Linked DNA regions of Oryzias latipes. The protein of the gene in region 1 interacts with the protein of each later gene in a pairwise test. Links are inferred from orthologs where the notes say so. Each region holds a gene or a part of one and is shown on either strand. Other genes may lie near its edges.

What was found. The genes of interacting proteins can lie anywhere in the genome.
Region 2: the proteins of fmr1 (region 1) and nufip1 interact in a two-hybrid assay, tested with the Homo sapiens proteins (2 studies listed by BioGRID). The link is inferred for Oryzias latipes from reciprocal best matches to the Homo sapiens genes FMR1 and NUFIP1.

The regions. Positions count from the first base shown.
Region 1 is NC_019868.2:25,371,446-25,376,112, forward strand, and holds part of fmr1 (synaptic functional regulator FMR1), read left to right. Parts: intron 1-1,518; coding exon 1,519-1,571; intron 1,572-1,652; coding exon 1,653-1,782; intron 1,783-2,307; coding exon 2,308-2,379; intron 2,380-2,751; coding exon 2,752-2,900; intron 2,901-2,973; coding exon 2,974-3,067; intron 3,068-4,667.
Region 2 is NC_019860.2:15,376,228-15,380,932, reverse strand, and holds the start of nufip1 (nuclear fragile X mental retardation-interacting protein 1), read right to left. Parts: upstream 3,384-4,705; 5' UTR 3,287-3,383; coding exon 3,055-3,286; intron 2,975-3,054; coding exon 2,901-2,974; intron 1-2,900. Other genes in the region: nop58 (nucleolar protein 58), read left to right, coding at 4,042-4,086, 4,425-4,501, 4,587-4,639. UniProt on the Homo sapiens protein: Binds RNA.

The DNA.
Region 1 (4,667 bases):
ATATGTACATATTTATGTTTTATACATGGAATCATCTTTTTCTTGTACAGATTTCTTCGGTACTTAAGGTTTATCATAGCTGTCTTTGTGGTAAAGAATTTTTTTTTCCCGTGGTGATAAACTGTATGTGAGCCATAAAGATGGTCAAAGGTGTTTATTTTTATTGCAGACACTTAGATATCTTATGTCTGAGGGTCTAAAGTGTTGTATGGAGCACACGGTGGCTGTCCCACCTGGGATTTGAACTCTCAGCTGACTGATCAGCAGGCAGCTGCTCAACCCGACGGGATCTTCAAATTCATTAACAGACATTTTAAAGTTTAATAATCCTAAAAATGATCAAATTTATGGAACGTTTTTATATCATAAAAACGTTTTAAAAGTATTCACTTTATTGAAACTTTGGAGGCTCGTCTGAACTTTTCCCCAGTTATGTGTTCTTGATCAACAGGTGATGAGGGAAGAGGGAATTCTGGGTAAAAAAAAAACATGAAATTGTGAATTGGTTCCCAGTGCTCTTTTAATTATGACTATGCAGTTTTTAGCCAAAATCAGAACATAGTTTCTGCGAAGTGGCAGAAGTTCATTAGAAATTCACCTCCGATTTGTGAGTGGGAGCAACCTCGCCCCCCTTCCTTCTCTGTTGATGAGAGGTCTCTGTTTACGCGCTTTCCTCCTTGCTAACAGGGCCTCACACCCCCAACTTAACATTAGCGGTGCGACAAAAATGGCGAGCAGTATTGGAGCTGTCCAGTCGTACAGTTCTGATCCAGATTCCAGCTCAGATGAGCTAAACACAGACGTACACGGATCTATTTGTCTGGAAGTGGATGCATCAGAATGGAGCTTGTGACCCGCCCAGCGGATTTTCTACGTCACAAATACAATCTTTTTCAAACAGCTTTTTTCGTCTGCTCCTGATTCAGTGATTTGGATAAAGAAACACTCAGAAATCCATTTTCAATGTCCTCCATTAGAAAAAAGCATCAACATCGTGTTAAAAACAGTTTCCATTGGAGTGGGTCTTTTCTGTGCCTATTTGTTAAAGTGGATTCAGTTGCAGTTATTTGAAATGCTCGTGTTGCTCGGTATTCAATGCTGTCAGCCCTGAAGGCGTCTATAAATCAGAATGATCATTTTCAAAGTACGAGCTTTGACTTGCCTATACAGATAAAAACGCGTCCTCGTTTAACCCTTTTTTCATGCCCTTGTGGTAGAAATGATTAGATGGGTGGAGTGAGCACTTAAACCGCCTTTTAGGTTTTGTTTAAGTCAGTTTTCACTCCCGTTCAATGATGAACTCGTCATGCCGAAGCCTCTGGGTCTAATCTTCATCCTCATGGAAGCAGACGACGATGCCCTGCATCTCAAAAAGTCTGGTTAAAATCATCAGGAAAAGAGAATTTTTTTCTCCAGTGGAGTTTTCCTTTCAACTCAAAGCTTAAACTTCCCTAAAGGAAAGTTTTGTTTTTTAAGGAGTCAAGTGTTTGATTCTTTCTCCTCCTCTACCTCCTGTAGGCCTTTGTGAAGGATGTTCACGAGGGATCAGTCACTGTGGCGTTTGAAAACAAGTGAGTCTCATCAGCTTTTGGAAAAGGACACGATAAGAAGCTTACGAGTCTTTAAAAACGCTCTCCTGCTTTTGTTCCAAGTTGGCAGCCAGAACGTCAGATCCCCTTCCAGGACGTCCGTTTTCCTCCTCCTGCAGGTTCTGGAAAGGAGATCAACGAAAGTGATGAGGTCGAGGTGAGATCCAGAAATCCATCAGAAGTCACCAAAAAAGTAAAGCAAACATTTGATTTTTTTATGATATTTTAAACACTAAAACAGAAATGGTGCAGTTGTTGTTTGAAAAAGCTGTAACACAACGTCAAGACGAGATAAAACAAGTTCAGTTTCAAATGAATTCAAGTTATTCTTACTTCAAATATCACTTTAGCTCAGTTTAAAAAAAAAAAAAAAGTTGTATATTTTGACCTCAGCTTCCATCAGTGAATTCCACAGCAGCTTTTTGGCTTTTGGTCACTTTTTGGGCGTCAGAAACAGACTTGAGAACAGAATCCAGAGCGGATTGTTATTTATGTTATGGTGCATCCCATAACATTTCTTTTCTATAAAATCTGGATTTCTATGGACTTAAAGTTAAAGTGTATTATGATTAGTCTGTTAAATGAATTATATAAAAGGAAACTGTAGTTGAGTTTATTTCCTTTTAGACTTTTGGATCAGTGTGTGGATGCCATTTTCTTTGCATGTGTCAGAGTGGCCCACTTTTGCATTCAACGGCATAGTGTGTGTATGTTTCAGGTTTACTCTCGAGCAAACGACAAAGAGCCGTGCGGATGGTGGCTGGCGAAGGTTCGCATGGTAAAGGGGGAGGTAAGCTCTCTTTAAATTGTCCTTCGGATCCTCATTGCAAAATTAGGCTATTTAAAAATTAGTCAACGATTCTTCAAATTTGAACATTTTTCTTTAAATTAGCAAATAAATCTGCCAAAGGGGTGAGAAAAATATAGAAAAAAAAATCTCATCATGTTTCCTCAAACTAAGATGATTTTGTCATTGAAAAACTTTCTTGATAAGAGTAGTTTACCAGAACAATACAACCATTTATTTAATAAAACAAGGGTCTTTATACTTTAAGATTCAGTTTTTGCAGTGCATTGTGGGAATCAAGTAAGTTAAAAATCCTCTTTGAACCCCAGAACATTGCTCCTATCTGTAAAATGTGTCTGATCTCTTCTTCTGTAGTTCTATGTGATAGAATACGCCGCCTGTGACGCCACCTTGAACGAGATCGTAACGCTGGAGAGGTTACGGCCGGTCAACCCCAACAAACCAGCCACCAAAAACACCTTCTTCAAGATCAGACTGGACGTTCCTGAAGATCTTCGTCAGATGTGAGCAGCTTCTCTTACAGTGGAAGATTAAAAATGGACCCGTTATGAGCCCTAAACTTGTGTTTGTCATCAGGTGCTCTAAGGAGTCGGCGCATAAAGACTTCAAGAAGGCCGTCGGAGCGTTCAGCGTCACATACGACTCAGAGAAAAAGCAGCTGGTCATTTTGGTTTGTCCCCGTTTGATTATTATTATTATTGTTATTATTTTGTTTTTATTAAATCAGGTTTTGTCACTGCATGTCCAATGACCCAAAATGTCCTTGTATCCCCCTAAATCTGTGGTGAAATTGCTCTCCAAATTGTCTTTTATTTAGTTCTTTCTTGTTTTCTTTCATGGTTTTTTATTTCGTCACAGAAGCACAAAAAAAAAACAAAAAACAAGCAGAATAACAAAAATTAAGTGCACGACCAGGAAATGTGGAGAATTTCCCCCCAAAAATACCATCAGCCAACTTTAAACATTATCATTTTACAGAATTTGTAAATGGTACAATAAAAAGTCTTGAATTTTGACATCGCAAGGTGCTCACACAACGACTGCGTTCGACTCGTGTCGAAGCGGCCACTTTCAATGAAAAGTCTTCGTAAAGACGTAGACCAGAATTTCGGGCTTACGCGTCTGGAACGTTGTGATCGCATGTTGCTACGCAGGTTTTCACGTCCGGTCCCGGACTCTACGTACAAATTTGGTGCCCGTTGATCGCGTGCTGACAGTTCAACCGGCTGAACTTTTTCCTGCTTAATCATAGCAACGATCGATTTGGTAATGACGTGTAGATCGTGTCCTTTTCAAAACATGGAAGTACAGACCGTTGTTGGCATGATCACGGAGGACAAATTTATGCGTTTTGTGATTTAAAATGACAGCAACACAAATATTTAGTAATTATAATTTTAACTTGAAACTTGTCGGAACGATGGAGAAACTACTTAAGTTTGGTTTCATTTTACTTGCTTTCAATGACATTAAAACCACTTTTCCCTTACCTGACACGAGCAATGTAAGGAGACAGAAAAAGACACTGAGAAAGAACAGGAAGTGGTTTAAAGGACACATGCTTCCATCCTTCCTGGTGCATTTTTTCTGAAACTTATTAAGGATATTTGAAGGTAACTGTTGGGATTTGAACTTGTGGTGATAACGGCAGTAAATCAGAGCTGTCAAAGAAGACTTTTAAAGCAATCCTGGGTTCTTGATTTCACACAATCTATTAACTTCTGGGTTAAATCTCAGCTAAAAGGAAAAACCAGGTTTGTTCACCAAATTACTCCTAGGTGGGAAGTAACAAAAGCATATCGGCTCCCATTTCATTAAACTGTAAAATGGTCCATTTTTTTTACAACAGTAATAAGCATTGACTTTGATATCCCACTTGTTACTATTATTCCAAAACCACAGATGTAAATCTCTGGTTTCAAATAAAGTGGATAAAACCGTTGGGTAATGTAACCACACACTATGTCTTCTAAAGTCATCGATTGTTCAGCTTTTTCTCTGGTGTACGTTCAGAGTCGACCGAGATCCAGTCAATCTGTTGTTAAGACCTCTTCTGGCGACACGAGTGCCTTGTTTGCCGTCAGGAACGCTGGTTGTGGACAATTCCAACACAGAAGTAATGAGATGGCCTGGCTGCAACATAAGAGGTTTTATAAATAAACCAACAGAACATGAAACAGAACCAGGACTGTGGCAGAACTAAACCATGAGGGGATAAGTGACAACAGAGGAACTGTCAGTCAACAACTTAATGCCTAAATAAAGTGCTG
Region 2 (4,705 bases), on another chromosome or scaffold:
TGGGCCTAAGTACCCTGCCCCGCTCCATTCTGATGCATCTACTTGTAGACGACTACTTCCATCTACGTCTTCATCATTTTTTTTCGCTCAGGCTGTCATCTGGCTCAAAACTGTACGGCTGAATAGCTCCAATATTGCTCGAGGGTGTGTGTGTGTGGGGGGAGGTGCATACGTTCCTATTTCGTTACTTTAAAATGAAGGCAATGGAATTCAACTACCCTGCTTTCGAAACCTAACTCCTTTTAAAAATTTTGAAATCGAGACATCGATCAAACCTCATCCTTTTAAGGCCTTGAACTTTAGAATGATCACAACTTTTGGGACATTTGCTATGGTTTATGAGCTGCATCTGTTCAAAATGTTTTTATTTTTATGCTGTTTACTATATCCGACGATGCAACTGTTTTGTGCACTAAGCTACTATGCACCTCTTGCCCTCTTAAGCTCAGTTTGACACCCAAACTCCTTTACACAGAGATACGCCACTGCAGCACCGACCATTGGAATTAGACATGAAGTGTATTTTTCATAAATGCTTGGATTAGTCCAATTAAACATTTTTGCACTTTGTTATTCCAGTGAACCATCCAGACAAAAGAATTTCCCCACTGTGGGATAAATAAAGTCTTATCTGAGTAATGCATTTGCTGTCATACATTTAAAAATGGTTTCGGTATGGTACTTTTCCTTTTAAGATAATTAGGTGCTCCTTATATTATTAATTGACATTTTCGTGGTAAACTTCGCAAACTTTCCCTGAGTGTAAAAGTATTCTACGGAGCCCGTGTCCTGACATTAAAAAATTAAAATATATCTCGTTCCCACAAATAAATATCTTGTTCGCACTAAATACTATTCCGTTCCCAACACGATAATATTGCGTTCCCTCGAAATGATTAACTCGTGGGAATGAAATAATTAATTTGTGCGAACGCGATAATTATTCACGTCATAAGTCATTCATAAACACGGATATGCTCTCCGTTCGGCCGCAAAAGCTGCTTTCTGCTGTAACTTCTGTGTCTCTGTGACTCACATTTGTTCAAAAAAGAAAAAAGAAAAACAATAATGATCAATTTATTATTGTCTCATTGAATATAAGAAAATTATCATAAGATTTATGATACCTAGACTTGCTGCTTTGCCATACGATTCACTGGACATAGCTCCGCTGCGGAGCTCTTTTGCTTGTCATGCCGGCATTCGGGCAGCTAGCTGGCCGGTAGACAGACAGCTAGCTGATATTGTAGTCTAGGGTAGAATATAGGTATAATAATATTCTGCACTTGTCTTTTATTAACATGCTCTTTAGCAGTCGCTTTACATTCGAAGGCTATTAGGCTACATGGTAACTATCTGGCCGATCATTTATCCTGTTTTTTACGTCATAGATTTACAGCAGATACCTTCACATTTCTTCTGTCTGTGTGTGTCTCATTACATTGCATTGAAGACACGGAGGATGTTTAGAGATCAGATGTATTCATTTTAAAAAGCACAAAAGCCATACTACTTAGCTCGTAGCTTCTAGCATCACATCCGGATGAGAGCAATATCGCAAGGTGCACCTTGACCAATCACCGTGTCCCTGTAACTGAAGTGTTACAACTGAAGTGGCTGTTCGAAATGCATCTTGGGTATGCGTGATGCCTGTCGGGATGTCGCTCACCGCCATGTTTGTAATGCTAAGAGCTAAAAGCTAAGTCCGGTAGGCTAAGCAGCCAGCCTAATCTTATGATATTCTTCTGATTTTCATCGAGACAATAATAGATCGATCATTCTTGCTTTTATTTTTATTCCTATTGAATGCTCACAGAGACACGGAAGTAGCGGCAGAAAGCGGCTTTTGCAGCAAGATGGACGGAGAGCGAACCAGGATGTGAATGAACCCAGACATGACGTGATTACAGCTGCTTTTGTGCTTTTTAAAATAAATAAATCTGATCTCTAAACATCCTCAGTGTCTTCAATGCAATGTAATGAGACACACACAGACAGAAATGTGAAGGTATTTGCTGTAAATCTATGACGTAAATAACAGGATAAATGATCGGCCATGTAGCCTACTAGCCTTTGAATGTAAAGTGACTGCTAAAGAGTATGTTAATAAAAGACAAGTCCTGAATATTATTATTCCTATTCGACCCTAAACTACAATGTCAGCTGGCTGTCTGTCTACCGGCCAGCCAGCTGCCTGAATGCCGGCATGACAAGCAAAAGAGCTCAGCAGCGGAGCTCTGTCAGGTGAATTGTATGGCAAAGCAGCAAGTCTAGGTTTCATAAATCTTATGATAATTTTCTTATAATCATTGAGACAAAAATATTGATCATTCTTGTTTTTCTTTTTCCTTCCTTGAACAAATGTGGGTCACAGAGACACGGAAGTTACTGCTGAAAGTGGCTTTTGCGGCCGAACGGAGAGCATATCCATGTATATGAATGACTTATGACGTGAATAATTATTTCGTTCGCACAAATTAATTATTTCGTCCCCACGAGTTAATCATTTCGAGGGAACGAAATAGTATTTCGAGGGAACACAATATTATCTTGCGGGAACAGAATAGTATTTTGTGCAAACAAGATATTAATCTGTGGGAACGAGATATAGTTTAACTTTTAAATGTCAGGACACGGGCTCCGTAGAATACTTTTACCTGCAGGGGGCAGACTTGTGGGAGTCAATCAAAAGGTTGTGTGAAGCAAATTATGAGGCATTTGTGATTGTTTTTCTCACATGTGAGTGTGAAATACTACCAAGTCTGTAACTGTTAAATGAAGTGACGTCAGTGGCATAACAAAATGGACTCACAAACTCAGGCTATTCAAGTCCCATCACAAGTTTTCATAGATTTTAACCAAGCTCCACATTTATGTAGTTAGCTTTTTTCTCCCATTACCTTTTTCCAGGGCTGGTAGTGAGGTCCACTGTTGTTTCTTCCACCTTGATACCATTCGTATCCAACGTTTGGACCTAAAACAACCCCAGAACCGGGTAAGTTTGATGCCTAAATTGTTTTGAACTTGAAAACAATTTCTGTGAGTTCAACTCACTGTAAGGATGCGTATGTCCATGGTTTCCCCAGCCTGGTTGAAAGCCAAAGCCCCGTGCTGGCTCTTGGTGCTGCCATGCCGGACTGCCACGGCTGGGCTCGCATGGCGACTCGGTCCAGTTCCACATGCCCGGTTGGAAGCCGCTGAAGCGGGGAGGCTGTTGAAGATGCTGGCTGGAGCTCGCTGGGGGGCAGCTGAAGTCCGGAGGGGGATAACGGCCCTCTTCACTCATGTTGTTTAACTAATTACTTTTCAAAAACAAGTTTGTTGAAGCCCCAACTTCCACGCAGTCCCCACATGTGCGTGTTTTGCGTCACTTCCGCTAAAACAGGAAACACTCATTTGTAAGCTAAATGTATCCTAATGATGCATATTTAATGCCTGTACGTATCCTAAATTCTATCAGATGTGTTTTTATTGTACGGATCTGTGTTTTATGTCTTTTAAATTCAGTGTCCGAATTTATGCAAGTTTTTCTGAAGAACCGTCTTGTTGCCATGTTTGGGGTGAACGAACGCTCATTGAAAACGTTTAAAGGAAACATTCTAAGATATGTACTCTGTCAGTATGCTTTTCTATAACAAGTAAAAAATGTCATCAATATAAGGAATAATTCTATAAGTATTTCATCGGTTTTTTTTCTCTGTCTCTTATTTATTTATTCATTTATTTTTTGCTTCCTAAAATAAAACAACTTAAGCTGTTTATTTGCAATTAAGATAGTTTTCAACACCTCAAAAAATCGAATAGCATATTATATATGTATTTTTAATTTTACACGATATACATTTGGATAAATTCCAGGTACTGGTTGAACTAAACGAATTATGTTTGAATTTGAGTTTTTTTCTTTCCAGAGCTGGCAACCCCACAGCTTCCTGTCTGTGCCGCGTGGGGTTTTCGGACGGCAGCGCGTGCTCAGTAAAAAACGTGTCCGCTCGTTGGGGCGAGCACGCCATAAGGAAAGAAACATAGTAAAGCTTCAAAATGTTAGTTTTATTTGAAACCGCCGCAGGATATGCTATTTTCAAGGTAATTCGCATCCCCTTTATTCCTTTTATTTAATATTAAAAACTCAAATGTTATTTGTTCTTGTTGGCTAACGAGTTAGCTTAGGTTAGCATAAAAAAATATGACCGTAGTCTGTTCCTGTTGTATTTTTTTCGAGCTGGAAACAAAAGTGCCGTACAGGTTAAGCTTATTCAATTGAAATCAAATGTGCTGAAGTGAGCTTTTGTTCAAGTTTGATTTTTAAGTTGGTTAGCATTCTGCAGGCCTGTAACCACGTGGGCACTCACCACAACTTGGTTGGTATCGATTGAAACTTGTTAAATTAATTTTATCCCTCCATATTTCTTTTATTTTTGTAGGTTCTCGATGAATCCAAGCTGCAGCAAGTCGACAGTCTTTATAAGGAGTTTGAAACTCCTGAGAAAGCTAATAAAGTGTAAGTGTATATACATTTGGGGTTATCACATTGTAAGTTTATTTTATATTACTGAAAGTATAAATTGAATTCTTTTTGTTTTTAGAGTCAAACTGAAGCATTTTGAGAAGTTCACTGACACAACTGAGGCTCTAGCAGGTACAGCTTTTGTCCAACTGTCCACCTTTACATACATAATTTTCTGTGTCTGATTCATCTACAACA